Coturnix japonica: one gene and its partner. The protein of the gene in region 1 interacts with the protein of each later gene in a biochemical or structural test. Links are inferred from orthologs where the notes say so. Each region holds a gene or a part of one and is shown on either strand. Other genes may lie near its edges.

Region 1 (15,936 bases):
CACTGCCACCATTGCTGATGGGTTCCTGCCCATCTCCCCTTCACCTGAGCACTCACCTCAATACAAAGTGCCTCTCCACAGCCCTCACCCCTGACTGCTACATGCTGTGCTTCACTGAGAAGGCAGAAGAACCCCTGTTCTCCCAGGATACATGACACAGGTAGAGAACTTGTAAAGACAGGTAGAAATATTTAACACTAATATCTCTTGCAGTGGGTGTAGGAACAAGATGAGAGCACTCGCACTGCTTATGAACAGTTAATTGCATTGCAAGTAATGCACAGAGACAAATAACTTCAATTATTCCCATTTGAGAACACTGTAAACCAACTGTATCAGAAGAGGAGCGGGGAAGTATCCTGAGCAATTCAATTTACTGCATTAGTCAGAGACTCAAACACACAGGAAGCAGTGAAAGAAAAGACACTGAGGTCATTACAGCAATCCAACCATCTCCTCTGAAACAGCATTGCTGGCACCAGTTTATCTGGGGCAGAGTATACCTTATATACTCAGAGTATACCAGGAACAGCACTGGAAATGCCTGACTGCTTGGAAAGCTGTTTACAGACAGAGGCCAAACAGTCTGGGTAACAGAGCTCTAGAGAAGTAGGAAGCAAGAGGTGACGTGGCTGCTGTTTACAGGCAGAGCATCGTGGAGCCCCACTCTTTTTGCCTTGCTTATAAGCAACTGAAGTGATGAGGTAAAGACACACACAAGAGGAACCTACAACCTATCTGCCATCCACTGTGTTTGCTGATAATTCTGGGTTAACGGTGCTGCCACGCAGGACAACCTTTACACCTACCAGAAAACAAACCAGGCTCAGCCAGCAGGTTGTGTGCTGAGGGCTGCTTTGCATGAAGCACATGTTCCAGTTCTTGGTCTGTCAGTTCTAAAGCAACAGTGCAAGGGTTCCCTGCCAGCTCCCAGCCATGGCTGCACGTCTGTAGGCAGCTTGAGTGTGATCCAGCCCCAGGAGTCACTCTTTTATCAGCTATAGAAGGCGTATGTTGAATGTGTAATTAAAGGAGAGCTTAGACAAGCAAAACAAAACAAAGCAATAAATAGCCTGGAAGATGACAAGCAAAGCAAGGTCACACAGCAGCAGACATAACAAGGAGCAGGCCAGAGGGGTGCCTCTGTGTATGGCACACGCTGTGGCTCCAGCCTGGATGGCCAGCAACACCTTACTTGGTGTTGCTGATCTCAGAGCCAAGATAATGATCATGGATCAAACCTTATCATAGACCAGTTGGGTGGGAAGAGACATGAAAACCCACTCAGCCCCAACTCCTGCCACAGGGGTGACCATTCCCATCCATCAGGCTTCCTAGGGCCCCATCCAGCCTAGCCCTGACACCTTCATGGATGGAGCATCCATAGCATCTATAGGCAGAATGCACCAAGGCCTCATTGCCTTCAGAGTAAAGTTCTTCCTAACATTTAAATCTCTACTTTAGAACTGTATCCCCTTGTAGTATCACCACACTCCATGACAATGAGTCTTACCTTCCTTACCTTCCCATAGACCCCACTACCCCATATTGGCCCCATAGACCCCAAACAGGTCCCACAACCCCATATGGGCACCATAGACCCCATACAGGCTCCACAATCCCATATGGGCCCTATAGACCCCATACAGACCCCACAACCCCATAAGGTCCCTATAGACCCCATAAGGTCCCTATAGACCCCATACAGGCCCCATACGGGCCCCATGCAAAGGCCTCTAATCAACTACCCCCATCCCTCACTGCACATTAACACCCCCGAGCATCCTCCCGGCCCCTCAGGTCCCTCATGCCCGTCGTCCCGCTCTCACCTGTGCCACGAAGCGATCCGACGCGTCTCGGTACTTGTCCAGCACAGCCTCGGGCACGGGCTCGGCGTATTCGAACTGCGGGTCGTACGCGAACCGCTCCCTGAAGAACCGCTCCCGTTCTGCCTCCACGTTCCGCGGCCGCAGCGCTACGAGCAGGCAGGGGCTGCGCCTCCCGGCCCCGCCGCCCTCCTCGCCCCTGGCCCTCGCGATGTGAGGCAACGAGGCGGCGGCCCGAATCCTCCCGCCGCTCCGCCGCATCCCGGCGCCCGTTTCCGACAAACGCCGGGTCCCCCGCGGGCAACGGGGCGAAGCGGACCCCGCCGGGCGAGGCGGCGGAGAGGGACACGAGCACAGCCGGGATCCATCGCGGTCCGGCAGCGTGCCCAGCCCGGCACGGCCCTGCCCGCCCGCCGCCCCCGGGTCCAGCACCATCGCCTCCAGCGCGGCCAACGCTCCGGCCCCGCTGCCCTCTCACGCCCGCCGCGCCCGCCGGCCGCCTCACGCAGCCAATCCGCGCCGCGCATTGCGGCCGCACAGCCAATGGGAGTGGAGCGTGGAAAGAGGCCCCGCCCACCGCCCCTCCAGGCCGAGCCCAGCCCTGTGTGAGGCGGCGGCAAGATGGCGGATGTCCGTGGGTGGGAGCAGCCGTGGGTGGGGGCACAGCTCCGGGTCCCAGCCCTCAGCACGGCTCTGGTTGTACCAGGGCTCCTGGGGCGCCTCACCGCCCTCCCAGTGGAACATCTTCCCCTGATACCTGCACTAAATCTCCCTTTAGCTTTCCATTGCACATTGCTTATCAGCCAGCCTCGCTTGTGTAGGAAGACGCTGCACAAAGGAGGCTGGAGGTGTAGAAGCCAAGTACGTTTATTAGGCAGATCTGCTGGTTGTGAGGCAGTCTTGCAGCAGGGGCTCAGCTTGTTGCCTGTGTGACGGGGGCCCTTCTGCAAGCTGTGCCTATATCCTCCTGTCATTACCCACCTTGGCTGCCCCGGCACTACGAGCTCTATCTTGCTTACATGGAGGCTGGCCTGTATAAAAAGAGGCTATTGGCACCACGGCCTGAAAGTGTCTAAAGATAGCTTGCTATTGCTTACATGCCATAATCCGTGAGTGTGGTGTTAATGAGCTGGCAGTGTGGTTAATTATCCATCCGCTAGTGGGAAGTGACAAGCCTCTGAAGTGTAATTAATCACTGCTCCCAAAACAACAACAACAACAAAAAAACCCCAGACAATCAGAATGGAAGAGGGTGCCAGCCCATCCACCTGAGCTGTTGTTCTTGCTCCTTCTCATTGATACCCAGCTCCGAGTCCTTTACTCCCCCCTTCATGCCAGCTTCTGGTGGATACAAGCACGGAGGGAAGCTGGCCATCACCTCCTTCAGTTCTTTCTGGGCTCCTTAAAGACTTTGTGCCCTTTCCTCCCTACCTCCGGGCTGGATCTCAGAGCACCCGTCTGCTCAGGCTCTCCTTTCTCCTTGGTGCCAGCCCCAACCTTGGTGCTCCCCAGCAGTATTTCATTGATGGAGGTCAGCGTCAGGTTGCTGAAGACCATGTTGAGGTGGTCAATGCCTCGCAGCTCCTGGACGTGCACTTTCTGCTTTTGCTGGTTGCGCCATCGCTTGCACAGCTCTGAACTGCGTTTGTTGACAGTGTCATCCCCATCACCATAAATCATGTCCACGGGGTCCTCGTAAGGGAAATGCTCATCGTATATGTAAGTCTCCACTGTGGGATAGCCTGTGCCATAAAGGCAATATGTGTCCACGCCAGGAGGGGGTAATCCCTTCAGCAAGTCCTTCATGTCCTCCCACATGTACCAACCATCCTCCAAGTTGACATCGGTGAAGAACCGCTGGTAGTCCCGGTAGGTGTAATTATAGGAGGGTGTGGAGATGAAAACATGGTCCTCTGGCCAGGCCAAGCTCGTTGGGAACATCCAGGGGCTGGTGGTGGTCATACGCTGCTCTTCACGCAGCTTGATGTTGGACATAAGTGGGATGCCCTGATTATCACCTGCAGGACAGACCAAAATACACCCTTGGGCAGCTGAGATCGGACACTTATCCTTGCACTTATCCTGCAAGCCTGGGTGTTTTTAGTGTGTCTGGAGTCCTAAGACCATGCAACAATGAAGTTACCTTAAAAACAATGTCTCTGGCCCATGTGATAACAGAGAAAAACTGATGACTAAGAGTGATGCAAGTGGTCAGATGTTAAAATTTGCAAGCATGTGTTTTTAAATGAATCCCATGCATTTTGGAGGCTCAGCTTGTGATCTGTAGATACTTGGGCTGTCAGCATTAGGCTTTCTGGACTGAAAAGAGGCTAAAGAGAAACTAGGTGAAGGAAGTTAGAAGCCTGAACAATAAAAGCTTATGGGGGATGGGCTCTGAGATACAGGCAGATGCAAGCAAGTGATGTAGAACAGTGTGTGTGCCCCTACAGGGACCTCCATGTCCTCAGCTGTGTAAGGGCTGTACTGCTTAGGGCAAAAGTCCATCTAGCTCACAGCTACTAGAGGTAGTGCAGCTGTCTGGGGAGGCAGTGAGAAGCGAGTGAGCACGGCCCAATCTGCCTTTCTAGCCCCATGATGTGTGGCTGGGGCATTACTTTTGCCCAGGATGGGCAGTTCTGATTTCAAGGAGCATCCCTAGCCCTCAGCTGTCCATCCCCCAGCTCTTCTACCATAGTGTCTGGTCTCTGCTCACTGCCACTCTTCCATTTCTGCAGGAGAGACAGAAAATGAAGAAGCCTCTGCCCACAGGGAATCTCTCACCACTCTCATCACTCACCTGATGCCAGGACACGCAACGGCTTGACAGACCCTCCCCAAGGGGCACCCAGTGAGATGAAGCCCCCGATATACTGATCTTTCCAGGCTTGTTTCTGCTGGAGCAGGAAGTAGAGGACATTGAGGTTGCCCATGCTGTGCCCAATGAGGAAGACACGCTGCTGGTACTCATCGTGCATCTCCTCTATCAGTGCCTTCAGGTTCTGGAAGTATTCAGGCTGCTCCTCTGAGGACAAGAGAGACACCAGCTGTTGGTCAGCTTCACATAGCCCCAGGATGACACTAAGAGCCTCAACCAGAGAGATGTGTGGGCACAGATGCCAGAAGTGCCACTGCATACATTCACATGTGAGTGCTACTCACAGCCACAGACAGCCATCCCTGTCCAAGGGATGACAAACCACACTGAACCACCACACCTGCTCACTGGGAACCATCCTGCCTCCCTCCCTGCACATGTGATATGGCCACAACCCCAGACTTACGGGGACCAACCCTCCAGTCATAGGGGGCTGCCCGGACTGTTTGGTCCCTCACGTAACCATTGTTCACCAGGTTCTGAACCAGGGTGTGCAGGTAACCTGCAGAGAGAGAACAGATGGGATTTATGTCTTTGGTCTTCTGTTATCCTTTTTCTGTTCTTATCTTGATCACAGGCTGGAATTTCATCTGCTGAGCTCCGTATCTTGACTGCTCTGGTCAGAGATTGCAATTCTGTGCATCCTGGAGGCATAACACGGCACTTGGGGCTGGGAAGGAATTGTCCTGGGGCCAACATCCTTCGCACACAAGTGACCTGGGCTCCATCATCTCTGCAGGACTGAGATGGGGTGAAGCCCACGGACACAGGGACTCCTTTCTGTTAAGCAATGAACGACAGCCCTGGATACCCCGTGCCTCTCCACAAAGCTGGCTCCTCTCACCTGCCAGTTTACTCTGATCCAGGTACTCCACAGAATAGGTTTTGCCAAAGCCAGGCACACGGATGTGCACCCCGGGGGCGTTGGTCATTTTCCGAGCGGTTCGGTTGTACACAACCCTACGGAGAGAACAAGACAGAAGGCAGCAGCTGTGTCATATCCTGACCCCGCTACCCCAGGGAAGGCTGGCAGCATCGGCAGGAGGTGCTGAGGACGGGCAAAAGGGGAAGGTGTTCAGAAAGGGCTGATGAGAGCTGTGTTCACATCACAGAGTCCAGGAAGGACAGTGTGTGTGCAGGGTCAGGGCCACAGAGGGAGGAGAGGGGAGGGAGATCCCTGCTAGGTCATTAACCTGGGGAGCTCCTGGGATGGGGGTGAGTGGTACCTGGTGTTATCGATCCAACAGTCAACTCCCACTGGCAGGAATGTGTTGAGGTTAAGCCAGATGGTGAAATAGTCCTCGGTTTTGCGGTAGCACATCCAGTTCACTACATCCGGCTTGTCCAGTTTGGCTTCCAGCTGGTTCCCAAGACACCCGGGCACTGGGGGCATCACAGAAGGAAACTACAGCCAGGTAGACCTCGGTTTGTGGAGCTGCCTGGCCTCGTGCTTCCTTGACCCACAGACTTCCCTGGGGCTGCCTGGCTAGGGACAGCCAGGAACCTGCTGTTGGTTGCTGCTGGATGTCACTGGAACAGCACTCATGGAGAACAGCCTGCCAATGCCTTGGTTCTCACCAAGCACAGCACATTTTTGGGCACTTGGAGATGCAGGTTGGGCATAGAACCATTGGAATAGTGCTAAAAGTGCATCCTGTGGGACCACCAAGCTGCTGCCCTCACCCAGCGCTGGTCCAAGAGAATGGAGATAACCAGCATGGAGCATCCCAGTGTTTCTCCCTAAGCTTGGCTGGGTTTCTCTGCTCCTATTATCAGCCACAGGGATGGGGTTGGTGCTCCCACCCCCACCGTATGCCATGCTCTACCCATCACACCCATGAGTTCATCCAGGGGTAGCAGAGGCACCCCTGTCCGGGGTGAAAATAGTCTGTGTGCTGCTGCCCAACACCCACACATTGTTTTCCTGAACTTTAAACCCTCTGAGTAGATTGAACAAAGTCTCTGAAATGATTCCGAACTGTTCCCTGTGGGAATTAGCTGCAAATATCATACAGTAAACACAACACCATTTTAACCAAGTTCATGGCCTGCCTTGTGACCGGGGCTCTGCTTCTGGGAGCTGCCCTGTGGTTCCCTGGCAAGGACAGTGGACACTCACTGCTGTCATTGCTCCCAGCCACTGCAAAGGGTCCGAGGTGTGTCCCAAAGGGCTGGACAAGGATAAGAAGCAAAGAGACCTCAGTGCCTGCAAGGCTGATGGGGTGGGAGCACTGAGTATGAACTGAACCCAGCAGCCACCACTGTGCCAAGGGCAGCCCCAGCAGTGTCCCTGCAGCAGGATGCAAGGGTAGCCTGGTCTGGAGATGCTCTAGTGGATCCCGCCTGCCACAGCTACAGCTCCATGGTGTGGCAGAGCATTTGCAGGGGTGCAGAAGCATTGTAGCACATGAGAGTGGAATGGGGTATATGGGGTATGCTGGCTGCCTTGCTCAGCCTGCTCCACAGCTCCCTCAGACCTGTGCATATGGGTAAGTTCTAATCCTTCTTTCAACACAGGGTGATGATCAGCACATCCTTACCCACCCATGAGAGGATGCTGGCACAGGAGAGCCCGGGCTTCAGTTGGGGAGCTGGAGCAAGCAGAGTAGGTGGCAGTTCCTGGGACAGCAGGTAACCCTGTGTGCCATGGGGCAGCCCCGTGGGAGGTTGCATCCCAAGGGTGCCAGGGGTGGCTGGGTGCCCTCCTCCTGCCTCACTATTCCCCCTGGTACAGCCAGCACCCCAGTGCTTAGTTCTGATCTCTGCCTCACCTCAGAGAGGACACTAGGTAATTATTAAGGGAGTTCCTGTGGGGGCAGAGGGGTTATCATTGGTCCTAAGGGCACTGGGGGTTTCTGGGATACCAGACCCAGGGGGATGGGCTTCACACAAATGCTGTCTCGACCACCCTGACACCCCACTCTGGGTGCTGGGCATGGGGCAGGGGTTGAGGCTGGTATGGGGGCACGAGGCAGAGGCAGGAATGGGGAGAAAAAGAGGTCCCGGGGGGTGCTTGGAATGAGGCTTCCTGAGGGTCTGAACAAGCTGCAGGCTCACAGAAGGGCAGTGGAGATGCTCCTGCTGTCACACGCCATCCTGAGAAGTGGCACAAAGTCACTTGTGCTGTGCCATCCCCTGCCTGGTATAGTGACAGCCTCCTGGCCACCAAGGCTGCAGCCACTGCCAATCCAACCGCACAGTGCCAGAGGATGCGGGCATGGCTGCCTCTGCCAAGCTGTATGCCAGGCTGCCCTGTGCATCGAGAACTGCATGGGGAAGGGAGTTCATAGGGTCATTCTTTGGATGTTCTGCTTTTTCTCTTCTCTTTTTAAAAGGGAAAGTCCTTCTGAGTCAGGAAAAGGGTGAAAAATAACCCCCCTGCTAAGGGCAGGTCTGGCAAAATCCTATGCCAGTGTTGGCACAGGGAGGCAGATTGCAGCCACACGCTGACAGCTTGCAAACAACCCCAGCCAGGCTGCAGAACTCCCCATCCCCACCTCCCCAGCTGATGCCCCAACCTCTCAGTGCACCACTGATGCAAGGAGAAGCTGCACACCAGCTCACTATAGCCCAGGCAAGGTTGTCTGCTGTGGGTCAGACACCCTGCAACAGCAAAGGATGAATTAACTGCAAAAAGCACAGGGCAAACTGCAGGGGAGCAAGAGTTGGTAGTCTCCATCCCACTGGAACAGAAGCAGCAGCAGCACGGAGCTGCAATCCAAAGGCTGTTGCAACCCCTACCCCTCCATCAGCAGAGCCCCCCGAGCAGGGCAAAGTGCCCCAGCTGTCACCTTACCGAGCACCACGGGCGGCGTGCTGTTGGTCGGGGGTGCTTCTGGGGTGGTGGTGGGTGGAAAGAGCACGTTGAAGAGCCAGAACTGGGACGTGGGCTGCAGGAGCAGCACTAGAAGCAGCGTCAGCAGCGTGAGCCCGGCTCCCGTCCTCCCCATGGCCAGCTCGGCTGGGCTCCCTCCAGCAAGGGGAGCAAACGGGCTTTTATATCTTAGGCAGGTCCAGGAGCTCGGGCTGCAGGGGAGGGGAGAGCTGCAAGGGGCTGGCCGGGATGGGGAGGAGGGACTGGGAGGGACGAAGGCCCGGCCTTGCAAATGTACCGTCCCCTGTTGAACACTGCGGTGGCCGGAGACACTTTGTACCCTCAGAGACCTGCCCACGGGTGGCTAAATCCATTGGTGTCCCTGAGCGGCGTGTGGGCAGTGCCCACAGCACGCCTGCAGCGGGTGACACCGGAGGGGGACACTTCAGGCTCTCTGCAAACCCGCTGCTGTGCTTTGGGTTGGAACTGAGGTTGCTGCAGAGAAATGACCCTGGAATGATCACTGCCGGCCCTCTCCTTGGGTTGTGCTCCCCTCATGTTCCCCAGGACCTCGTGGCAGGGCTGGAGCTCTGAGTTCAGTCTGTGTGAGCACAGCAATGCCCATATTACCCTTCTGGTGGTGGTGATGTGGGGTCCCCAATGGGCCGTTTGGAGCATCACCCAAATGCCCATACGTGAGCCTGGATAGCTCAGTTGGGAGAGCATCAGACTTTTAATCTGAGGGTCCAGGGTTCAAGCCCCTGTTCAGGCGAAGCTTTTATCCTTTAAGTGTGAACGAGGGGAGCTGGAGCAACGCTACAGTGCAGCGTGCAGCCTGTCCCAGGCTCTGCCTCCTATTTTCCCTCTCGTGCACCCTCAATTAGGAAGAACTGGTGGGCAGAGGCAGAGAAGCGTCCTGCTGCCCCCTATCTGCATCACTGCGCCTGTTCACTAATGAGTTCGCTTAAAAGTTGTCCTCAAACAAGACTTCTCTCTGCTTGTTCGCTTCCCGTCCTCAGCCAGGATGGAGCTCAGCAGACCATAAACACCCCAACAGTCTGACTGGAAAAGGTTTGGCTCCCTGTACATGTGTCTGTGGGTTGGAAGCGGGGGGGATTCCCGCAGCACGGCAGGTTTAAGGATGGAGAACAACTCAGGGAGCTGATGGAGCTGAGGTCCTGAACCTACTGGGGCAGCCCAAGGTGACAGCAGGGAACTGGACATCTGGTGACTCGGTCTGTGTTGTTACCTGTGGAGGTCTCAGACTCGAGACCTTTAATTTCTCTTCTGAAAGCTGCTGTCCGCTGTGAGCTCTGCACAGCTGTCGGGAGAGGGCACTAAGACAAAGCAGACTCTGTGTTTCAATGGGCTGAAGGCTTGTATAGAATAAAAGGCACTTCCTCAAAGTGGAGACCCTCTGGTGCAGCGCAGAGCTCTCCGTGTGCCTTCTGTTGTTTAAATTCCTGCCTCTGCTCTAAGGATATGGCACTCGTATCCCTGATGGCATCCCTTCAGGACACATGGGAATATAGGGACTACTAGGGATTTTGTCCTCTGTGCGCAGGGACAAAGCTGTACCAGGATGACAGCCAGGCCCTTACTCAAAAGCTGGCCGTTCATCCAACATAGCTCAGTCATGTGCAAAATAACCCAGCCATTCCCTCAAAGCATTGGGGAAGACTGTGATAATTGTAGCTAAAACAAAAGCAAGAAGGCAGCTCACGCACTGCACGTATACTGCAATCATTGCTTACAGTCACAGCTTCTTTAAGACACAGGCACAACTCGATGCAGCAACAAAGAGATGACTATTAAAATCTGAGGCTTGGCAAGCATCTCACCAGGCCATAACTTTCCCTTCCCAGTCCAGGAAGGAGCCGCTGTCCTTGTCGGAGAGGTTGGAGAGCACCTTCAGCATCCCTCCTACGCTCTCATCCACTGTCACGCGGGTCTGCAGGGGCAGAAGGAGAAAGATGGCTATGTGTGTCCAAGGGCCCAGCCTGCCCAGGAGCCTTCAATGCACAGGAAGCTCCACATTCCCACAGTAAGGGATTCTTCCAAACCTTGGCCAGAAACTCTCTTACCTTATCTTCAAAATCGCCTCCCATGTCTGTTTTGACCCATCCGGGATGGAAAGCGATGCAGAGGATGCCGTGTTCCCGGTAGCCCATGGACTGGCACCTGGTGAGCATGTTGAGAGCAGCCTGTGGGAGACAGCACAGGGATCAGGCGGGGATGAGAAGATGCATCACAAGGACCCCACAACGGTCTTCCCATGCAGATGCCCAGTCCCAAAAAGGACCTGTATTGACATGGCCCTTTGTGGTTGGGCTTGGGACCAGGCATGGGACCAGTGACTGACTGTACTTACTGCAACGATATGAGACTGCTTGTCCGTAATGCCACAGATAGAGGTCCTGAATGGATCCAGCAGTGCTGGAGATGTTGACGATGGCTGCCTTGTTGCAGCTCAACCCTGATCCTGGGTCCCCTGGCTGCCTCTTAACAGGGGGCAGGAACGCCGTTGGGAGAAGGTAGAGAAGCATGCAAGAGAGCTCATTGGAAGGGCACGTTTCCCTCCATTGCAGGTCATAGCAGAAGAGATATCAGAGAAGTAGAGAATCAGAGGACAGTTGTTGCTGGCAGAGGTCTCCGTAGATCATTTCTGCACCTCTCCTACCCAACCAGAGTCATGAAGAGCCATTGCCCAAGACCATGTCCACATGTCTCTTGAGCATCTCCAAGGAGGGACACTGGACAATCTCAGTGATCAGCTTGGAGACGCAATTGGCCCCACCAGTGCTCAGCACAAAGTCAGAGTGCAGATTATTGTTCCCCTCATTCATGTCATGATCCTCTGCACCCCGGTATGGCTCGTACCTCTGCACTCTCATCTCATCTTATGGCCCCAGGCTTCAAAGTGCCAATTTCTTATACCTGTCACCTGGTGCTCCCCCAACCAGGAAGGGCATGTTGGGCTCAGCCTTCCAGGACTGAATTTCAGCACCTACTTCTGACAGCAAGAGACCTGACTGGGGACTGAATTGTAAAGGACCCAACACCAGGGCAAGAAGACAGCAGGCAGAGAGTAGAGGAGGGCACTGTACCATGGGCCCCATTTTTCTCCCATTAAGAACCTCAGGGATGCATCAAAGGGATGTCAAGGAGCTGAGGTGACAGCCATTACCTGGTCAGCAGGACAGCGCGATGGTGTTGGTCATGTACACTTCAGACATGTCCTTCAGGTTTTCACTGTCAATTGTGTTTATCCTTACGATTCCAGCGTTGTTGATGAGGAGTTGAGCCCCGAGCCTTGAGCGCGCCCCCGACCGCTTGGCTGCGGCCGCCTTAAATGCTGCGGGCATCGGTGACTCTGCAGAGGCGCAGGTGGGGAGAGTAGAGTGCCGCTGCCCGTAATCGTTCTGCCAGCAGGCCACAGTGTGGACAGAAGAGCCCTGCAGCAGGGCTGTGGAGATGCGAGCCACAGAGAGCGGGGAAGCCTCAGGTGAGGGACTTCCAGCCTTGGGGCTGCGGCTTGTGGCACGTACCGAGGCGGGACGTATGACGGTTGGCGGCTTGGAGGCCAATTGACTGCGCTCCTGTCAAAGACAGCTGATGTGGAAAGGCCGACAGTGTTCACGACTCTTTCAGCACGGCTTGACAGCTTGCCCCCTGCCGCTGTTGGTAGCACAGGTGACAGATAAAGGCAGAAGCAGTAGAAAGCAGCCCTGCCCAAACCCAAGGAGCCCTGGCACTGTGCAAGCTTGTCCTGTTGCCCATCGCTCCCAGCGCTCATGTCTCTGATGCGCCAGAGCGCAGCTTCCTCATCCATCTCATGATCCTTCACCCTCCCCTCTCGCTGCACCAGCCCTGCTGTCCACACCTCAGCTCAGCCACCCACCTACCTGTGCTCGCTGTCCCCCCTTTCCAAAACCCAACTAACAAAGACGGAAATAGCTGATCTGCAGCGGCTCTTGCTCACGAACGAGGACCGCCCGGCGCCCCCGCTACCCCATGCCCTCCCAAATGGGGTCCTCGGCAGCCTGCAAAGACCACTCAGGTGGTTTTGGCAGTGCCAGCAGGTTTTGCGTGGACAAGCCCAGGCGATGCCCTGCTTAGGGACCGCAGTCACCAGAACGGAGCGGACACGCAGCTCTCCCATTTTGCTTCTCCTGCCTCTGCTCCAGCTCTCGTTGTTTGCTCGGTGCTCCAAGGCTTCTTATCACATACTGAACTTCCACCACACCCACACAGGGCTTGCACAAAACCCAGATTCTGGGTACAATCTCACCTGCCCTAATCTTTCCAGCATTATGCTCCTGGCTGGTAGCCAGCCTTACTGTAGGGCAGAAGTCACATTGCCTTATATTTACTAACTTGCTGTTCAGTAATGCCTGAGCCCTAAATCGATTAACAGCAGCAGAAGTCCTGCAGAAGCTGTGCTGGGTGAGGAGATGGGAAGCAGAAGGTGGGAAGGAGACACGATGCCCCGTGGGTCTGCTGGACTTTCACTGTGCTGTTCCCCGTTTTGCTTCTCCTGCTTCTGCTCCAGCTCTTGTTGTTTGCTCAGTGCTCCAAAGCTTCTTATAGCATGCTGAACTTCCATCCCACCCACACCCACACAGGGCTTGCGCAAACCCTTGGCTGTGGGTGCAATTTCTCCTGCTCTTTGAACTGTCCAAAACGATGCTCCCAGCCAGTAGCCAGCCTTACTGAAGGGTAGAAGTCACAATGCCCTAAGAGACTGTGCCAATGGAGCTGGTGCAGTTGCTGGCCAGGGCAGCAAGTGACAGCAACAGTTTCTGACCTACGTTGGAAACAGAGCGGCCAACAGGAGCAGGGAATTGACTGTCCCCTTGTACATGGCACTGCTGAGACTGCATCTCCAAGACTGGGCTCGTTTTTGGGCCCCTCACTGCCAGAAGGATCCTGGGTTGCTCAAGCGAGTGCAGAGCAGGGCAGTGAAGCTGATATTAAGGAGGTGTGATGATGTGGCTCTTGGGCACCAAGTTTAGTGATGGGATTGGGTGAATCAGGTCGGAGTTGTGAACTTGAGGGTATTCTCCAACTTCACCAATTCCTATATCCGCTATCGTGAATCAAACCTCCTCCTTATCTCTGATTCTTAGGCAGCGGAGGACAGAGGGACACAGGAGCTGTGCTGCAGAAGCCAGCATCATCAGTGTGACTGCCAAAGTGATCTCCATTGGGTGGTGCCATGGAGTGCTGGGAGCCCCCATGTTCCCATACTGTGGCAGCGAGGTGAGGGGGTAGAGGAGGATTTGATGATGCTTGTCCATGGAGGGTGGTCCAAGGGACCTTCCACCTGCCCTAGGACACGTATCTTGTACATGGTACTTGAAGTGCAAGCACTCAGATGGCCTTCATAGGCATCCAGCAGCCCCGGCCCACTCATGGATACAGGCAGCATCTTCTTCCTGTACCCCACCCTATGCATGATGATGGAGAGCTCTTCACCCCATCTCTGTCTTACTCAAGTTCTCACCACCTGTTCCCCCATGTGGAGCCCTTCCTTGAAACATCCTGTACACCAACCTCACTCGTGCTTCCCCCAGCCCTGGGCAGCCCACCTCACTTGGGGGGACATTTGTCAGTAGTTCTGGTTGGGAGCAGTCTGTTCTGAAATAGATGAGGAGTGGAACCACCCTGGGAACGGGCTGCCCTCCATGGGCTCGCAGTGTGCATCAGAACCTGTTGTGGTCAGAGGCAGAGCCAAGAGCATTGCTGTTGTCAGAGCTGGGTTTATTGAGGGGGAAGCAGAGGGGAGGATGCAATTGCTGCAGCTCCTGTCAAAGACAGCTGATGTGAGCCACATGTCACGCTCTTTTCAGCACGGCTGACACTTTGCCCCCTGCCCTGTGGTACACCAGTGCCAGATAAAGGCCAGAAGCTAGGTAGAAGCAGGGCCTCCTCTGCCACAACCCCCCAAGGAGCCCTGCGGCCACTGTGCTGCCACAGCTTGCTGTTTTTCCCTTTTTTTTTACCTGTGCCATCCATCCCCAGCTCTTCATCTGCCTGCATGTCCGCAGGCTGGCCCAGCTCCTTCAGTCCATCTCATGATTCCTTCACACCTCCCCTCTCCTGCATTCCAGCCCTGCTGTCCCCCACCTCAGTCGCAGCCCAGCCCGAGCTGCCTCACCTCGTGCTCTTCTCGTCCCCCGGCCAGCTCTGCAAGACCCACCTCAAGGTGGGTTTGGCAGTGGCCCCCAGCAAGTGCCCGGACCAGAAGCCCAGGCCCGCATGCCCCTGTTGGCCCCAGTCACCAGAACGGAGCGGACACGCAGCTCTCCCATTTTGCTTCTCCTGCCTCTGCTCCAGCTCTCGTTGTTTGCTCGGTGCCCCAGTGCTTCTTATAGCATGCTGAACTTCCACCACACCCACACAGGGCTTGCGCAAACCCTTGGCTATGGGTAAAATTTCTCCTGCTCTTTGAGCTGTCCAGGACGATGCTCCCAGCAGGTAGCCAGCCTTACTGTAGGGCAGAAGTCACATTGCCTTATATTTACTAACTTGCTTTCTTGTGAAGCCTGAGCCCTAGATCGATTACTAGCTGCAGCCCTGTTTTGCAGAAGCTGTGCTGGGTGAGGAGACTGGATGCAGCAAGTGGGAAGGAGACACGATGCCCTGTGGGTCTGCTGGAGTTCCACTGAGCTGCTCCACCACCATCACAATCCAGATGGGCTTTGCACACCGTACCCGTGCATAAAGTTCTCTGGGCTGATCTCGTCCCCATTTCCCTGTCTGTCTCAGTCAGATTGTGCCACAAGCTGCTGTTTTCTGCTCCCCTTTCTTGCTAGCAAATGCTGCATCACCAACATTTCCCTCGGCACACTCGTGCTTTGCAGCACTGAGTCCAAAGCCACGGGCACTGGCTGATGGGCAGAAGAGCAGCGCTGAAGTCACAGACAGTGCAGACGTGTTGGCTTCTCCTGGTGCATTGTCTTGGCAGTAGAGTCCAGCAGAGCATCTTTCCCCCATCCATGCTGCCAGTCCCTGTTGCTGTTCCCCATGTCTCGGTCTTGGGGCCAGTTTTGTTTGACATTTCAGCCTGTGATCTCAATGAGGGGATGGAGAGATCCCTCAGGAAGCGGGAAGACAGCACCAAGTTGGGCAGCAGCATCAAAGTGCTTGAGGGTAGGAAGGCTCAGCAGAGGGATGTGGATGGCCTGGATCAACAGCCCAAGTCCAATTGCATGCCGTTCCATGAGGAGGAGCACCACATCCTGCACTTGGGTCATAACAACCCCATGCAGTGTTACCTGCTTGGGGAAGAGGGGCTGGAAGGAGCATGGTGGAAAAGAAGCCAGATGTGCTGATTGACAGCTGGCTGAAGGAGAGGCAGATGTATTGGCATGAAGGCCAACAACATCCTGACCTACGCTGGAAACAGAGCAGCCAAC
Region 2 (15,450 bases), on another chromosome or scaffold:
CATCTCCTCCAGCCTCTTCACCAGCTGCTGCCCAAAGGTCTCGCTGGTGGGGGCCACTTGCTGCCGGAACGCCTCCACCGTCTGCACCAGGCGTTCATCCAGCTGCTGTGCCAGCAGGTTCAGCCTCTGCCTCACGGCCTCAGCATCTCCACCCAGCGCCTGCTGCAGCTCCTGGGCCTGCGAGCTGAGCTGGGCACGCATCTCCTCCGAGCTGGCAGCCAGGCGGGAGCGCAGCTCCTCGGCCACCCGCTCCATCTGCATGGTGAGACTCTCCAGCTGCCGGTTCAGGCCGTCCTGCACCTCCTGGGCATAAGGGCTGAGCCCCTTGCGCAGCCCCTCCACGCTCTGTGCCACCTGCTCCTTCAGATCATCAGCCAGGGGTGTCAGCTGCCCCTTCAGCCCCTCCACGCTGCTGTCAATCTTCTGCTGCAGCCGCTCAGAGAAGGAGCCCAGAGAGGCCTGGATGCTGCCTGCGTTGTCCTGCAGCCTCTCCCTCAGCTCGGTGGCAAAGGGCTCCAGCGCCTTCCTCAGCTCCCCGGTGCCGCGGTCCACCTGCGAGCGCAGCTCATCGGCGTATGGGCTGAGCTTGGCCTGCAGCTCACGGATGTTGGTGCCGATCTGCTGGTGCACCTCGTCAGCATAGGGAGCCAGCTTGGCCTGCAGCTCGGCCAGCTCGCGTTGGATCTGCTCCTTCAGCCGCTGCGAGTCCTGCACCAGCTGTGCCTGCAGCTCCGTGGCAAAGGGCACCAGGCTCCGCTGCAGCTCCTTGGCGTAGGAGTTCATGCTCTGCAGGTTGCTCTGCAGCAGGGTGCTGTGGAGAGCGGGCAGTCAGTGCCCTGTGTCCAGCACCCAGCACCCATTGCTGGGTGCCCTGCGTCCAATTCCCATCTCCCAGCACCCTGTGCCCTCCCATGCCCACAGCCCTCGGTGGTCCCTGCACTCACTTGAGCTGCTTGGTGATCTCAGCTTGCTGCAGTTGGTCCGCGGTCTCCTTGGCATTGCTGCCCAGCTCGGTGAAGTACTTCCAGATCACAGTGGCCACCTGGTCAGGGCTGACATCGGCCCGTGTCCCTGCAGGCACAGAGATATGAGGTCAGATCTACCTCCATCCCACCCCAAGGCACAGCCACATCTCAGCCCCACCACCCCCAATGGGATGGGAGCTGCCTCACCTGCCACAACCAGGAGCAGCAAGAGGAAGGCGGCCCCTTTCAGCGACATCCTGAGTGCTGCCAGCGATGCTCTGTGCTCTGCTGTGTGCTGTGGTTCCTGCCGTGCAGCAGCACCCGCCGCTATTTATGCACCTGAGCAGCCACGCCGGGTTCCACGCAGCCCCGCACCGCAGCTTGGACTTTAGCAAGGTCGCGACGTGGAAGCGCCTGACGTGAGCGCAGAGCTGAGATCACCGCGGAGCCCGGCGGGGTGCCAGGGGGCAACACTGCCAGGGGGAGTGGGTATGGCCTGCAGAGGGCAGGGGGCACGTGGGGCTGGGACTCTATCGGAGCAGGATGGAGATGGAGCAGGAGGAGACGTGCCATGGGGTGCATGGTGTTGCCGACAGGGTGATGGGGAGGTGTGGGGAGACATGGCTGTGACCCCATCTCGGGGTGTTTGGAGTTGAGGACGCAGCTTGGCACTGCCACCCACCCCCCTGCTTTTGCAGCCCACCACCCCGCAGCATCCCATGCTTGGCTTGCAGTGGGTGCCACTGGATGTCACCCTTGTGCTGTATGTGCCCCGCAGCCGCCCCCACCCCTCACACGTGTGTGCAGACACGCATGCACAGCCCCCGGCCTTGGCCCTTGGGGATTTCTCAACCCCTTCTGGGGGAGCAGAGGAGCCCATCCAAATAAAAGCTGGCAGCGGGGAAAGGGATTCGGGAATGGGCACCCTGCCTGCGGTCGCACCACCACTGACCTTTGAACATGCGGCCTCTGGGGAGGGTATATAATGGGAACTCAGAGCAGCCCCCACTGCGCGGAGGCAAAGCACAGCGTAGCCAGGTGAGTGCGGGGCCCCCAGGACCGGGACCAACACCAGGGATCCAGGGGATGGGTCTGGGAGTCACATCTGACCCCACACCATGTGCTCTGCTCTCTCCCCAGCCATGAGGGTCTCCATCCTACTCCTGTTCACCTTTGTGGCCATCCTGGCAGTGGGAGCACGTAAGGGTGATGGGGAGTGAGGGGTCAGTGGGGGTTTGGGGTGCACCATGCCCACGCTCTGTGTGCTTTGCAGGGGCTGATGCTCCCGATAAGAAAGAGGCGGTGATGAAGAAGATGCAGGAGCTCATCAAGGAAGCCACCGAGGCAGTCAAGACTGCCATGACCATAATGCGTGAGTCAGATGCAGCTCAGCAAGCCAGGTGAGGCCGTGTGCCCCCACCAGCACCTCGTACCCCAGTGACCCCCAGTGTGCCCCTGGTGATAGGGATGGCACGGGTCAGGGGGAGCGGAGCTGAGACCCTGCTCTGATGTGGTCCCTTTGCAGGACATGGCTGTCAGACAACACCAACGTGGTGAAGCAGCAGCTGGCGCAGCTGAGGGAGCAGGTGACCGCGCTCTTGAAGCAGACACCAAGCGCATAGCCCGGCTGTGGGCTGGTGGGGGGTCCTGCTCCCCATCCCATACACAGCAGCATTTCACAGAATCACAGAATTATCAAGGTTGGAAAAGACCTAGAAGATCATCTAGTCCAACCATTCCCAATACTTCCCGACTAAATCATATTCATCAACACAACATTTCCTTTCTGTTGTGGTTCTTGCAATAAAGTGGAGCTGGAGTGAGATGGCTTCTGTCCCTGCGGTGTTGTTGGGGGGGGGGTGTAATGGAGGAGGGCTGGGGTGCTGAGCACAGCGCTGCACCATGTGTGTGGGGTGGTGATGGGGTGTGTAACCCCAATGTGAGCATGGTGTCCATCTGACACCCAGCTGACCCCCAGCCCAGGGTTGTGTTCTTGAGGTGCTCAGCACAAAGCTGGTGGCACATGGGGAGCTCCCAGCCCAGCATCACTGTGACCACATCCTGAGCAGAGCTGGGACTGGCACTATGGGCATCAGCAAACCCTAAGCCAACACTAACCCAGCTCCCCACCCTGCAGCCTCCCACCCTAAGGGGGTGCCAAAGGGCCCATCCCCACTTATGGCTTAGATCCCCAGCATCCACTGCAAAGACTGAGTGAGCTCCAATAACTTAAGTCACGTTTATTTGACAAAAGAATGGCAAAGCTGAGACGGACTCCGGGTCGGGGTGGGGGTGGGAGATAGAGGAGGGTAAGGAGGGGTCTCCTGGGGGCCGGCATGGCCTGGGCTCAGTCCCTGGGCCAGCAGCTCAGGCCATGGTCTTCTGGACTTCATCCAGGAGGTCGATCAAGCGGTTCTTGAGGTTCTCAGCATAGGGGGTGAGGCGCTCCTTGAATTCCTGCACCAGAGGCGTCATCTTCTCACGCAGGTTGCTGAGCTGCTCCACCACCTTGGCCTGGTACTCGGAAGCCTGAGGGATGCCCCTCTCACGGATCTCCTCCAGCTTCTGGCTCAGCTTCTGCCTCAACTCGCTGCTGTACGGCGCCAGGTTCTTGCGCAGCTCCTCCACTTGCTCACGCAGACGATCCCGAACCTCCTCGGCCACTGGGGTCAGCTTGGCCTGCATCAGCTCCACCTTCTGCTTGGTCAGATCCTTCAGCTCCTGAGCCACGGGCGCCAGGCGCTGGCGGTACTGCTCCACCTCCTCGGTCCACTTGGCAGAGAACTGGTCCAGGAAGGGTCGGATCTTCTCCTTCACCTCTTCCAGGTCCTTGGTCAGCTCAGCACGAAGAGCTTCAGTGTCCTTCAGCCACATCTCGCGCACCTCCCTGTAGTAGGGAGTCATGTCCTCACGCAGTTTGGCAGCTGCAGCACTCAGCGTGTCCAGGTTGTCAGCCAGCTTCAGGCTGGGGAGAGCAGTACGGGGTCAGATGTGGGGTGGGGACGTGGGGATGTGGGAACATAGAGCCACAGGATGTGGAAACATGGAGAGATGGGGACGTGGGGACATTGGGACATGGGAACACAGCACATAGGGACATGGGGATAGTGGGATAGGGGGATATGGGGATATGGAGATATGGGGACATGGGGACATGGAGACAGGGACAGCACCACGCATCTCCCCACTTACTCAAGCTGTTTGCCCACAGCAGAGGACTCGAACTGGGAGATGGCATCCTTGCCACTGGCCTTCACCGTCTCCAGGTAGACGTCCAACATATCCCGAATGCGGTCCAGGGGTGTCTGGGGGTCATCGTGCTGCCAGAAGGAGCGGGCCTGGGTGCCTGCAGGGACAGACAGAGCGTTGGGGACGGGCAGATGGGGGGGATCCCACTGCACTGCCGTGCCCGGGAGCTGTGGGTCGGAGCCCCACCGATGGGGCGCTGCAGGCTCCGGGGAGCGCTTGGCTGCGGTTTAATTGCACGGAGCGCTTCGGGATCGCGCTCTGCATCGCCCACAAGGGGCTCAGCCCTGTTGGGACGTACCCGTCAAGAAGAGCACAGCGAGGGTCACCAGCACGCCTCTCATCTTCGGGCTGAACCTGAGGGCAGAGCGAGAAGTTGGGCTCAAGGAAGCCCTGAGCAGGACCGGCTCCGAGCCCGGTGCTGCGGGGTGGGAAGGGGGGTCCCGGCTCACAGCTCGGGCTCTTACCGGCTCTGTCCTGACGCTGCTCCGCTCTGCTCGTCCCGTGTGAGCCCGCAGCTTCCCCACCGCCGCTATTTATGCAGGAGGGGCAGTTCCCGCAGGAGATAAGGCAGCGCTGCAGCCCAAGAAATCACTCCCCGACGCGGCCGATGTGGCGCGTAGAGTTCAAGGATCGTGTGCACGGCCCGGGACAGAGAGCCAAGGAGCGCCGGTCTGGCAGAGCCTCGAGCAAACAGGAGCTCCCTGGGGATGCGGAGTTGGCCAAGGAGATGTTTACGCTGCGGGTGACCCAGATTCCAGGCAGCCCCCGGGGATTGGCCAAGAGCCCGGGCACCGGGTTTATACCCGCAGGGATTTGGCCGCCCGGACCCCAACCCTTCGTTCTCCTCCCGTCACCCCCGTGAGTCCCCCCCGCATCCTTCCCATAGATGGAGACCCCCCCCCACAACACCCTGCCCGCGTCCCGCCGTGCCCCCAAAGCGGAGGGACCGAGCGGTGCCCTGAGGCTGCTGTGTGCCCGCTGCTGTCAACACGGAGCCGGGCGGTGGGGCACAGGCTCAGCACAGAGCAAACAGCATCTGCAGCACGGCCACCCCACATCACATGAACATTGTCCCACCAGCACCAGGGCTGAGCCCGAAGGAGGCTGAGTTGGGGACACAGACATGGGCATGGCCCCCAGGTCCCACGGGCACAAACAGATGGGCTGGTTAGTGGGTGGGTTGGTTAGTGGATACACCGGTTAGTGGATGGGGTGGTTAATGGCTTGGCTGGTTAGTGGATGGGTGGATTAGTGGATAGGTTGGTTAACAGATGCATTGGGTAGTGGACAGGTTGGGTAGTGGGTAGGCTGGTTAATGGCTGGGCTGGTTAGTGTTGGGCTGGTTAATGGCTTGGTTGGTTAGTGTTGGGCTGGTTAATGGCTTGGTTGGTTAGGGTTGGGTTCGTTAGTGTTGGGCTGGTTAGTATTGAGTTAGTTAGTGCTGGGTTGGCTAGTGTTGGCCTAGTTAATGTCTTGGTTAGTTAGGGTTGGGTTCGTTAGTGTTGGGCTGGTTGGGGTTGGGTTGGTTGGGTTGGTTAATGCCACGGGGCAGCTGCTCATTGAGCAGTGACACTCTCAGCTCTGGTGCAGCCCCGCACACACTTGCTGTGCCCACATCCACACCCCCAGCCCCTCAGCCCACCACCAGGAGCAGCTCCTCTCTCCCAGCCCTCCTCCCCCGGCTGCAGCTCAAGGTCTTTCCCATCAGGGCTCAGAGGGAAGCCGGGCTTTGGCAGGGTGCACCCGATGGGGTGGTTTGGTGACCTATGGGGTCAGCACAGCACATGCTGCTCTGCTGGGCAGCCCTGTGGCCCCCATCCACCCCCGGCATTGAGCAACAAGGCAAACAGAGAAGCCAGGGAAGATCACCAGCATGGTTTTATTTGCCATGATCCCACCGTCCGACCAATCGACGCGTTGCAAGTGACCCGCCAAAAGAAATCAACCCCCACCCCCCCAAAAAAAATAACACCCAACCAAAAAAATGGACTGAAGATTTACCAAAACTTCGGGTTTTTCCTCTTTTTTTTTTTTTTATATATCTTAATTTTTAGTCTGACATAAATGAAGGGGGAAAAATAATAACTTCTGACATTTCCAAAAACCCAGAAAGAATAGCAAAGTATTTTCATCTACATTCAACATACACTGCGCGTATCGATTACTGCAATACAAAGCCATGATGAAAAGAAACCAAACCCAAAACCCAAAGGTGATACGTCGAAATGGCACGGTTAGAAGCGAAGTCCCCCCGCTGGGTGCTGACTGTAGGGCGGCCACCTCTCCCAGGAATAAACAGTGTAAATGAAAGGAAAACAAACCAAAGGTACAGAGCAAAAAGGTTTTTGGTGCCTCCTGGTGCCTCCCAGCCCCTTCCCTCCCATATCACCAGCTTCAGCTCGGTGCTGTGGGCTTTTCCTCCTCTCCAGCTCTCCAGACTGCATTGAGCATCACTTTCCTGGGGACCAAGGGATGGGGATATGGGGGGAGGCATTGGTAGCCCATAGCGAATGTAGCTCTGCCATGCTGGTTTCACACTTCCTTCTGTGCAAAATTCAGGAGGTCTGGGTCAATCCTTTTATTATTATTAGATATCTATGTCTTAAATATTCCAAAAGTGTCATTAAGAAGAATTTCCAGGTGGAGCTTCAAAAGTCCCAAAGGGTGACGGTGACGCCAAGCTCTCCCCATAGCCTGGATGATGGAGGGGGAGGGAAAGGGGAGGCTTTGCTTTCTCTCAGCCAAGGAAAGAGCAAAAAGAAGAACAGAGAAGAGATCTCTGCGTATCTGAACCGCGTAGAGGAGGACACCAATTTGCCACGGGCACAAGAGAAGAAAAACCAAGTCACAATTACAACGGCATGAAAAGAAAGCAAACACTCGGAACAAAAGTGCAAGTCACAATGGGTGTAAGAACAGAATCCAGGTAAAAAGGTCTCTCAAACAGAAATTCCTTTTGCCTTTTATTAATAACAATAATAATAAAACAACATTTCCCAAAATAAAAAGGATTCCTTGATGATCGGGAGGAAAAGCTCCGAAAAGAAAGGGGGAAAATCTGTCTTCCCTACATTAAGCCAAGGAGGAAAAGAAGAAAATCACGTGGGGGGTTAGAAATGAAAAACATCCAAAAAAAGGGGGTTTTGGTTTTGGGGAAGGGATAGAAGTGATCCTGTTTAGCACAGTGCCAAAGTGAGGAACGAAAGCAGACAGAGATGAGACATATTGCACCAGGGCAGGCGCTCTGCAGGCAGGCGGGAGGTGAGCGCTGCGGGGAGGGGGGTGGGCACTGCGCCCTGCTCAGGAGCCAGCAGAGGGGGGCAGGGATGCGCTGCAGGTTCCTGCCTGCCTTGCAGGCTCCGTGGGCTCTGCTCTGAGTGCCAGCCCCCTACCCTGGATGCTCGCAGCCCTCCAGACCAGGCTCAGTGCTCGGGGCTCCGCTGACGTGTAGGATTTGGGGTTCTCCGGTTCTTTCGGTGATAGCTGGGAGTTACAGGCAAATACGGCAAAAAATATATATATATATATAAAAATTAAAGGAACCAAAGGAACAACACACTGGATGAAGTGATTATGAGGAAAGGGGCCATGGTATTCCAGTTAGTCAGAAATACTACGGCAATTTGGCGCAATGCTGCTAGATACTGTTGGTTTAAAATGGACCTTTTTCATTTCAAAGCTGTACATAAAACCTGAAACAGAGAGAAGCAGAGATGTGTTAGGAGATACCAGAGAACAGCAATCCTGCTCCCACAGCCCATTCCCAGCCCAAACCCGCAGGGCAGAGCCCAGAGCAGAGCCCACACCAACAAAACATGGCTCTGGAAGGACAGCAAAGGCACAAAAGAGGGCCCTGAGCACACAGAAGGGACATCCAACAGAAGGAGCTCAGAGCTGAGGGTCTCTCCTCCAGCCCTGAACCAATGCTAGAGCAAAAGGGTGGGGAAGGAGATGGACAAAGTCAGGCAGCTTCAGAGCTGCCATCCAGGAGAGCCCAGATGTGCAGCTGAAGAGAAAAGGAGGACACCGATACTCACTCCCTCCTGGTTACACCCCTGCCTGCTCCATCCCAAAGGGCACCTCCGGGTGCTTGTAGCTCAGTAGGACATCTGTGATACATGTCGATGGGTAACAAGAGGTGTTTAGATGCTGGTTGCCATCACCTAGGTTGGGATGCTCTTGACCTTCCAAACTTTCTCCGCATTCTGTAACATCAAAGAACATCAGGGTTTGCATTAGGAGCACTGAGGAGCTGCAGCTTCTGCAGGTGGCTCAGGCCAGCAGGAAGCCCAGTTCACTGCTGTCACAAGCTCAGCAGCACCCAAGCACAGAGCTCTACAGACTGTCACAGGTTTGTACCCAAAACATGTTAGAGCTGGAGATGGCTGCGGCACCCAAGCCTCAAGTGCAGTGAGAAATCCAAGAGACTCTCTTTAATTCAGTTCATGCAAACAGCATTGAGGAGGCTTTGATCCCACAGGTGACAGCTAACCCTTCCATCCCTGCAGAGCTCACTGGCAGCCGAGGTGGCTTTGCAATGCAGGCTGTCAGAACAATGCAGGTCCTTACAGCTCCTTACCCCCATGCAGTGCCCACGCCATGTCTGCAGCTGGCCAGGTCCTTACCCTCACTCTCCCTGTCACGCAGCTGTTGGCTGGCCATGAGCGACGACTGGCTGAGGACGGCATCAGACATCCGAGCAGAGCTGAGTGCTTTTCCAGCCATTAAGCTCATCCCAGGCAGGTTATCTAACTGCACCTGAGGAGACACAAATCAAAGTGGGACCAGAGCCAGGCACCTGCAAGCAGCTTCCCTGGCTATCTCTGACAGCTGCACAGGGAGTTTCTGCCAGCCTTCAGCAAAGGCTTCAGAGTACAAGAGTACACATCAGGGACAGTGTAGGTACAGCCAATGTCACCTCAATATGGAACGAATGGACAACTCAACCCCCTTATAGACTTATATTATACTATCAATAGTTAGGGAAAAGCTCTGCTCTACAGCAGTAGGAAGCTGTAGCAAGAAACATGCCACAATCTGGGTCTGATTGTTCTGAGAGGTCCAAAATGCAGAAAGCAGAGCAGCTGCTCTTTGCTCTTGGCGTGGCCCAGGTCACTGAGCACACTGCAGAGCTGAAAGCTGGGCTCTGTGCATCTGTAAAACTACTGCAGCCAGAGCCAAGCCTGGGGCAGTGCAAATAGTTTCATCAGAAACACCCTGGGGACAAAAGGAATAACACAGCCAGCACTGGGACAAATCAGGCAACACATGAGCAGAGGAGAAATTCCACATTGGTCTCTGCTAAAATGCTTTCAGGATTAAGCAAAATGGGGGTGCTGACTGCTGAGTCCCAACAGCAATTCATCCCTAGCAGCCCTGCAGAGCAGGGTGCTGCCTTTCTTTTGTGGTACCTCTTCCATAACCCAAAGCTGCTGGGCACAGGACTCTTCCCACTTACGTAGGCATCATCACTGTTCTGGATGGTGTGATGTCTCTGCAGGGTGCGGGGCCGCGGGTGCTCGCTGGATGCTGGCCGTGCTGGGTAGCCCAGCCCGTTGTGGTCAGGCACCTGCATGGCTTGGCCCGGGGAGCTCCTGTCCATACAGTTCCCTACGACGGACTCTTGAAATCAGATGAAACAGAAAAGCATCACATTAGCACAAGGAACCAGTTGCTCTTGGCAACACATGGCACCGCAGCACAAGCCAGTGTCACTTGCAGCTTGCTGGCTGCTCTGGCTCAAACGCTGCAGCACTGGGGCTCTCTGCATGGCCCACAGGCCTCCCTGCTCCTGCAGCAGCCTCCATCTGCCTCCCCTCCAGCCCTGCACCCTCCTCCATGCATTGCTCACATTACACAAGAGAAGGAGAAGGGTCCCCCCCACCTCCGACACAGGATGTTCTTAGCAGGGCCCCTTGGTAATTGTATGCAACAGATCTGGCTGGAAAAGCTGCTAGGATAGTAGTTGTTATCAGATGACTTCTCCCTGCCCTCCTCCAATCTGGCCGTAGGAGTACAAGAGCATTCTGCCTGGCAAAGTCCATCTGCACCGCAAGCTCTTATGACCGAGGGTAAAGGCTACATTCCTATCCAGCAGAACCTATCGTCATTAAGTACACGATGTTTTGAATAAAGTCCTGAGCTATGGAGAAGCCTATTGCAGGCTGTGCTGCACGTAAACAATTCCCTCTTGGTGAGCAGTCCCAAAGAGCACAAACATATGGATGAGGCCACAGGCCCTTGGGAGCTGCCCTGATGTGACACGGCCTCAGGTGGATCCCAACAGCAGATATCAGGTTTGCATGGAATGGTCAGCAGGAAGCAACCCCTGGTTGTGCCAGCAGTGAGACACTACTGGCTGGGACTGTCATACCCTGAGCACCCCACGCTGCTCCCCAGCATGGAGACAGCACTGCTAGAGCATCCTTCCCAGCAGCCAGGCATTGAGCTCCCAGCCCCCAAAGCCCAGCCAGCAGCCGGAACGCAGCCAGCCTCCTTCCTCCTGCACATCTGTGGGGTTAAACTCAGTTAATGGTCAGCATTCCCGGAAAGCAAGAAGGAAAACATGAGGTAAGGCAGTGCTGGCAGTGCAGGGCCGCCCACGCAGCGCTCGGGGCCCTTCCAACTGTGGGAATGGTCGGGGCAGGCATTGCCAGAAGCAGGGAGCAGTGAGGAGCCCTGAGCACAGGCTGCTTCCCTTGCCCCTGCCCCACTCTGGACCCTTTCATCCCAGGCAGCCTTTGTGTCAGTGCATGTGATGCTGGCACCCGGCTCCCAAGTGCTGGGGAAAGGTTTCCCACGGGCAGCGCTCCCGACCCCAGGTTGGAACAAGCCTGAAGCTGAGCTGCTCCAATGCGGTTTAGTCATACCCTAACCACAGATTTGGTTGAAACTCTCATGATCTGCAGTTACCTTCTGTGGCTGATGCTCAACTGGCTTTTAAAGCGGGGTCAATGCACTCTCTTTGGAAGGCATAAATCCCGCTGAGCCCCCGCAAATCTGCACTCCTCCCTCAAGCAACGTGTATTTCACAAGCTGGGGGGGAAGGAGATATCTGCCCTCTCAGCTGTCCCTCCTCCACAACACAGAGGGGATGGCTGGAAAACCCCAAGCTGTGTCTGAGAACAGCAGCCTTGCAGAAAGCCCTGAGTGCCAGTGCTGGGGTACAAACCTCCTGCTGCCATCCCTCAGCACCTCTAACACTTGGGCTGTGCTACAGGTGAGTGAGTGGCACTGGCACATTCAGGTTGTTTGGAGCAAGGTTTTATAGGATCGACTTGTAGGAAATGTACCTTGGGCTGCTCACATGTCTGCTTTGTTTGGAAGTGAAGTAACACAGGCCAGATTCCAAGTGGGTTATTAAAGCCAGGAGGAAAGCTCCGAGCAGCTGCAGCTCAGAACACAGTTTACTACACGAGCCCTCCAAACAGCCCCTGTCAGAAGTGCTTACACAATGCAACTTGCAAACATTTACTTGCTTTTTACTCATTTACAAAGTCTTGTTGTCTAAAGTCCTTTTCCCTTGTGTAACCTGTTTTAGCACCATCAGTACCGGGGCAGAACTTTAGCTTCTGACGCTGTTAAATCTTATCATTTTGCATGTTTTGGTCTAAGATGTTATGATGCGAGCTCCAGATCTGGTTCAAAATGCACCAGCACAGCTTTCAAATCCCACCAAACCTGGAGTTACTCTTCCCTTTTGTGCTACAAATACCACAGGGATATTAAAGCCCGAGAGAAATCAAAAACACAAAATCAAGGAAGGCTTCAGAAAAGCAGGGCCCTGCCCCTGCTTTGAGGGACACAGCTTGGCATGCCCACACCGCCCTCTGCACCACTCTGTTCCCAGCCAGTACTTTCCCAACAAACCCATGCTGTGTCCCCAAACAAAACAGCACCTCCTGTGCCCAGGACACTGCTCCCCTGTAATAGGGAGCCCTGTGCCAAGGGCAAGTTGATGGCTTCAGACCAGTACAGCTCAGTGCTGCGGTGAATACTGATCCACCCAGCCCAGCCTGGAAAGCCTCTATTCAAAACCTTCTTAGCAAGGGGGTAGGATTGTGTTTTTTCCTACAGGGAAGGCTTGTAATTATAGCTTGGGCAGGAATTTCTCTTACAACACATCACTACTAATGCAGCAAGGGCACAACTGTTTCCAACAAGCTTCAGCTCCCTTTAGAATCAACTCCTTGCAGCTAAAGCAGGGCTCCAGCCTCACTGCTGCTTCCCAAAGTGCCTGAGCAGTGCAAGGCAGACTTAGCAGCATTTATCACCATTCTTGTACTGCAAGTTTATGGAAGCTTTAGCAATGCCTGGACTCACAGCTCTGCCCCTATGAGAAGGAATACACCACATTATAGGTCTTCCAGAAACTTAACCTCTTCTGGGTACTTCAACCCCAACAAGAAGAAACGAGTCAACAGATCCCAGCATCAGTTCAGAGATAGCACTATCATGGTCCTGGCCTTTATCTGCCTACAGAAGTAGGTCACATTCCAGAGAGAAGAATCTAGCAGAGTTCTTATTTAACACTGTTTATTAGAGACTATGTCTGCAATTCATAGCCACAGAAGCCAGAAAGAATCTAGGTAATTCTGTGCTATGCAAAATATGTCACGAAACCATCGCAGTGCTGGGTAGGGATGGTGTTTTCTGGTAGGAACACGAGCAGTATGCAACCAGTATGGAAAAGCATTTCAGCCATGCGAGTGGCCCTGAGCCTTACCTCTGCTGGGCACCTTATTCCTACTGAATCCAGCAGCGGGCTGATGTCTGTATTGATGCGTCCCCAGCTCCTGAACGTGATTAGCAGTTCCTAGCAAAGATTCTGGGTCCCCGTGCCCTCCTGCATTTACAAGCAGAGGGGTCTCGTGGCAACCTTTGGTCAATGTATTTGAATTCTTACTGTCTGGAAAGCTGTCCCTGGCGCCCTCGCACGCACAGTCTTCCTCCATGCTCTCGGATTGGAACAGAGCTGGCTGGTGTCCGTATCCGTGTGGTGGCACTGATGCAGGTACCTGCTGGATACATTCTTGCGCCCTGATTTTTAAGAGATGCTGGGGGCTGTTCTGTGGATGATAGGCGTCAGCACTCTGATAAGGCAAAGACAACGACTGACGCTCCGACAGGCTCTGTCCCATGCTGGTGCCCATGTTCCCAGCATCCCCTTGATTCATGTGCCTGAACAACTCTTGGAACTCTTGCTGTTGCTGCTGCTGTTGCTGCTGCTGCCGCCGTTTGATGAGCTGTGCAAATTCTGCCTGGGGCAGCCGCATGTCCGTGTGCCCCGTGAGAGAGTGACGGGGAGAAAGAAGTCCCTGGAGGATGTGCGGTACCTGCTGGTGTCGGCTGTAGTCAGGAGGCGTTGGGGACAACAGTGCTTGCTGTAGTGCCGATGCAGTGTAGTGCTGTTGTTGCTGATGTGCATTTTGAGGGAAATTGGGATACTGGTCAAGCTGTGGGACTTTGAGAGCTTGCTGAGCTGGAGGAAACCCAACTCCTCCTGATGGGCTGTAGTTACTGGGGGAAACACGAGGCTGCTCTGGGAACAAGTGGGGGTGTAAGTGCACCTGGTCGTAGTTGGCGGGGGGGTTCCTGTACACGTTCAGACTGCAAAGAACAGAAAAGAACAAGTGACTGCACTGTGGCAGCTCCAGCTAACAAGGCGTGCAGGGCTGCCTTTGGTGCTCCCACCTCCCACAGAGCCTGCTTGATCCAGGTCACCCCCTAGGGCAGCTGCAGTGTAAGGTGGTGCAGCCTTTTCCAGAGCTGGTAAATGTAAGGGAAACAGGAACCCTGACTGCACCGAGAGCAAAATACGTTCTGGGAAAAGCATCTGTTTCATGCAAAAACACTTTGCTATTTAACTTTTCCACCTCCTGCCCTGCCCTGGCAGGATGCAGGGACAGACACTCTTAGCACAAGGTGCTTCCCAAGGCACAAACACCCACAGCCTTGCACACTCCCAGAACACCCAGCCTGGGCCACTGCCTGGAGTCAGCTTCACCCCCAAAACAAGTGGCTGATGAAGAACCCCCACAGCTCCACCTCACACCCAGCCCCGTTTCCAGCTCAGTGGAGATGTGGTGCAGCAGTGCCAGTGGCCTTACCTGTGTGACTCGGCGCTGTCGGCACTGAGCTGCTTGGACAGCTGCCTGTGGCCATAGGTGAGGGAGGCCATCAGGTTGGCGCGGTGCTGCATCTGGATCTGGTTGGCACTGGGGCTGATGGACATACCCCGTGTGTGGGAGGACATGCCCTGCCCGGCCACCGAGGCCCCTTGCAGGAGGTTGTTGCTGACCATGTCGCCAGGTTCCTGCACTTGGATGGTGACCTGCTGGGCCTGGGACTGCTGCTGCATAGCCAGGCACGTCAGCCCCATGGTTGGGGGAGGGGAACAGTTACCAGACTGTGGGAAGATTGTGTTGTGGGATGGCATCCCTTGGAACTGGGACTGGGAGGCTGCACCTACGAGGAACAAAGACTCTCAGCACCCACATCAGCCCAGGGCAAGGCTCAGAAGAGAGCAGCACACAGAGCCCCAGGACACATGGCAAGGAGAGCACTGCTCCTGGTGACTCTGTCACACTGCGTCAGGGTGCAAGGGTCAAGCTAGAGTCACTTTGCATACAAAGAGAAACAAAGCACAGCTCACAGTGATTTGTATCAACCCGAGAATAACAGCCCTTCCTCCCCACCCCCGGGAGTGATAAGTAAGGATCTCATGACAAGAAACGTATCAACACATTCCAGCTGGCAGATCCTTGCGAGCTCTCGATAACACCAGCCCTTGCCGCCAGATGGAGAATCTTTTATATCATCAGCAAACCGCACAAGGATTTGAGCACAGGGGGGACCAAATGCCCCCCATACCCCCACACACTTTTTCCCCAGAGGTTGGATGGGACCACAGGGCTCTGCTGAACAGGCTGCCCTGAGCACAGAGGATGGATGGGCAGCTGTCAGCACTTACCATGGGGCTGCAGCACGCTGCTGCTCACAGGAGGTGGGCTGCTGTTTGGTTGCCTGAAGAGGTGGTTATTAGGGTGGTTTGGGGGTGGGCTGGATGGCTGAATCCGTAACCTACGCAGGGAAACAAACACCTTCTCATCACACATGCTCCTCATTAAGACACTTTTTCAACTGTGAGAGCTGAAGCCAAACGCTGTGTTTTTGTTGTAAGATAAACACCATGAAGCCTGCGTTTGGGATCCCAAGCTCTTTGCAGCTTACCTTC

The links.
Region 2: the proteins of LCAT (region 1) and APOA1 form a complex in vitro, tested with the Homo sapiens proteins (6 studies listed by BioGRID and IntAct, with this or other methods). The link is inferred for Coturnix japonica from reciprocal best matches to the Homo sapiens genes LCAT and APOA1.

The regions. Positions count from the first base shown.
Region 1 is NC_029526.1:1,504,983-1,520,918, reverse strand, and holds LCAT (phosphatidylcholine-sterol acyltransferase), read right to left. Parts: upstream 8,701-15,936; 5' UTR 8,652-8,700; coding exon 8,498-8,651; intron 6,085-8,497; coding exon 5,928-6,084; intron 5,662-5,927; coding exon 5,546-5,661; intron 5,204-5,545; coding exon 5,108-5,203; intron 4,849-5,107; coding exon 4,624-4,848; intron 3,845-4,623; coding exon 3,210-3,844; 3' UTR 2,676-3,209; downstream 1-2,675. Other genes in the region: KIAA0895L (uncharacterized protein KIAA0895-like homolog), read right to left, coding at 1,830-2,261; C-factor-like, read right to left, coding at 10,353-10,466, 10,600-10,719. UniProt on the Homo sapiens protein: Central enzyme in the extracellular metabolism of plasma lipoproteins.
Region 2 is NC_029539.1:4,413,008-4,428,457, forward strand, and holds APOA1 (apolipoprotein A-I), read right to left. Parts: upstream 4,884-15,450; 5' UTR 4,679-4,883; intron 4,569-4,678; 5' UTR 4,556-4,568; coding exon 4,513-4,555; intron 4,312-4,512; coding exon 4,158-4,311; intron 3,931-4,157; coding exon 3,333-3,930; 3' UTR 3,181-3,332; downstream 1-3,180. Other genes in the region: APOA4 (apolipoprotein A-IV), read right to left, coding at 1-811, 945-1,071, 1,173-1,221; serine/threonine-protein kinase SIK3, read right to left, coding at 8,262-8,419, 8,840-8,972, 9,673-9,836, 12,940-13,823, 14,324-14,681, 15,187-15,296. UniProt on the Homo sapiens protein: Participates in the reverse transport of cholesterol from tissues to the liver for excretion by promoting cholesterol efflux from tissues and by acting as a cofactor for the lecithin cholesterol acyltransferase (LCAT).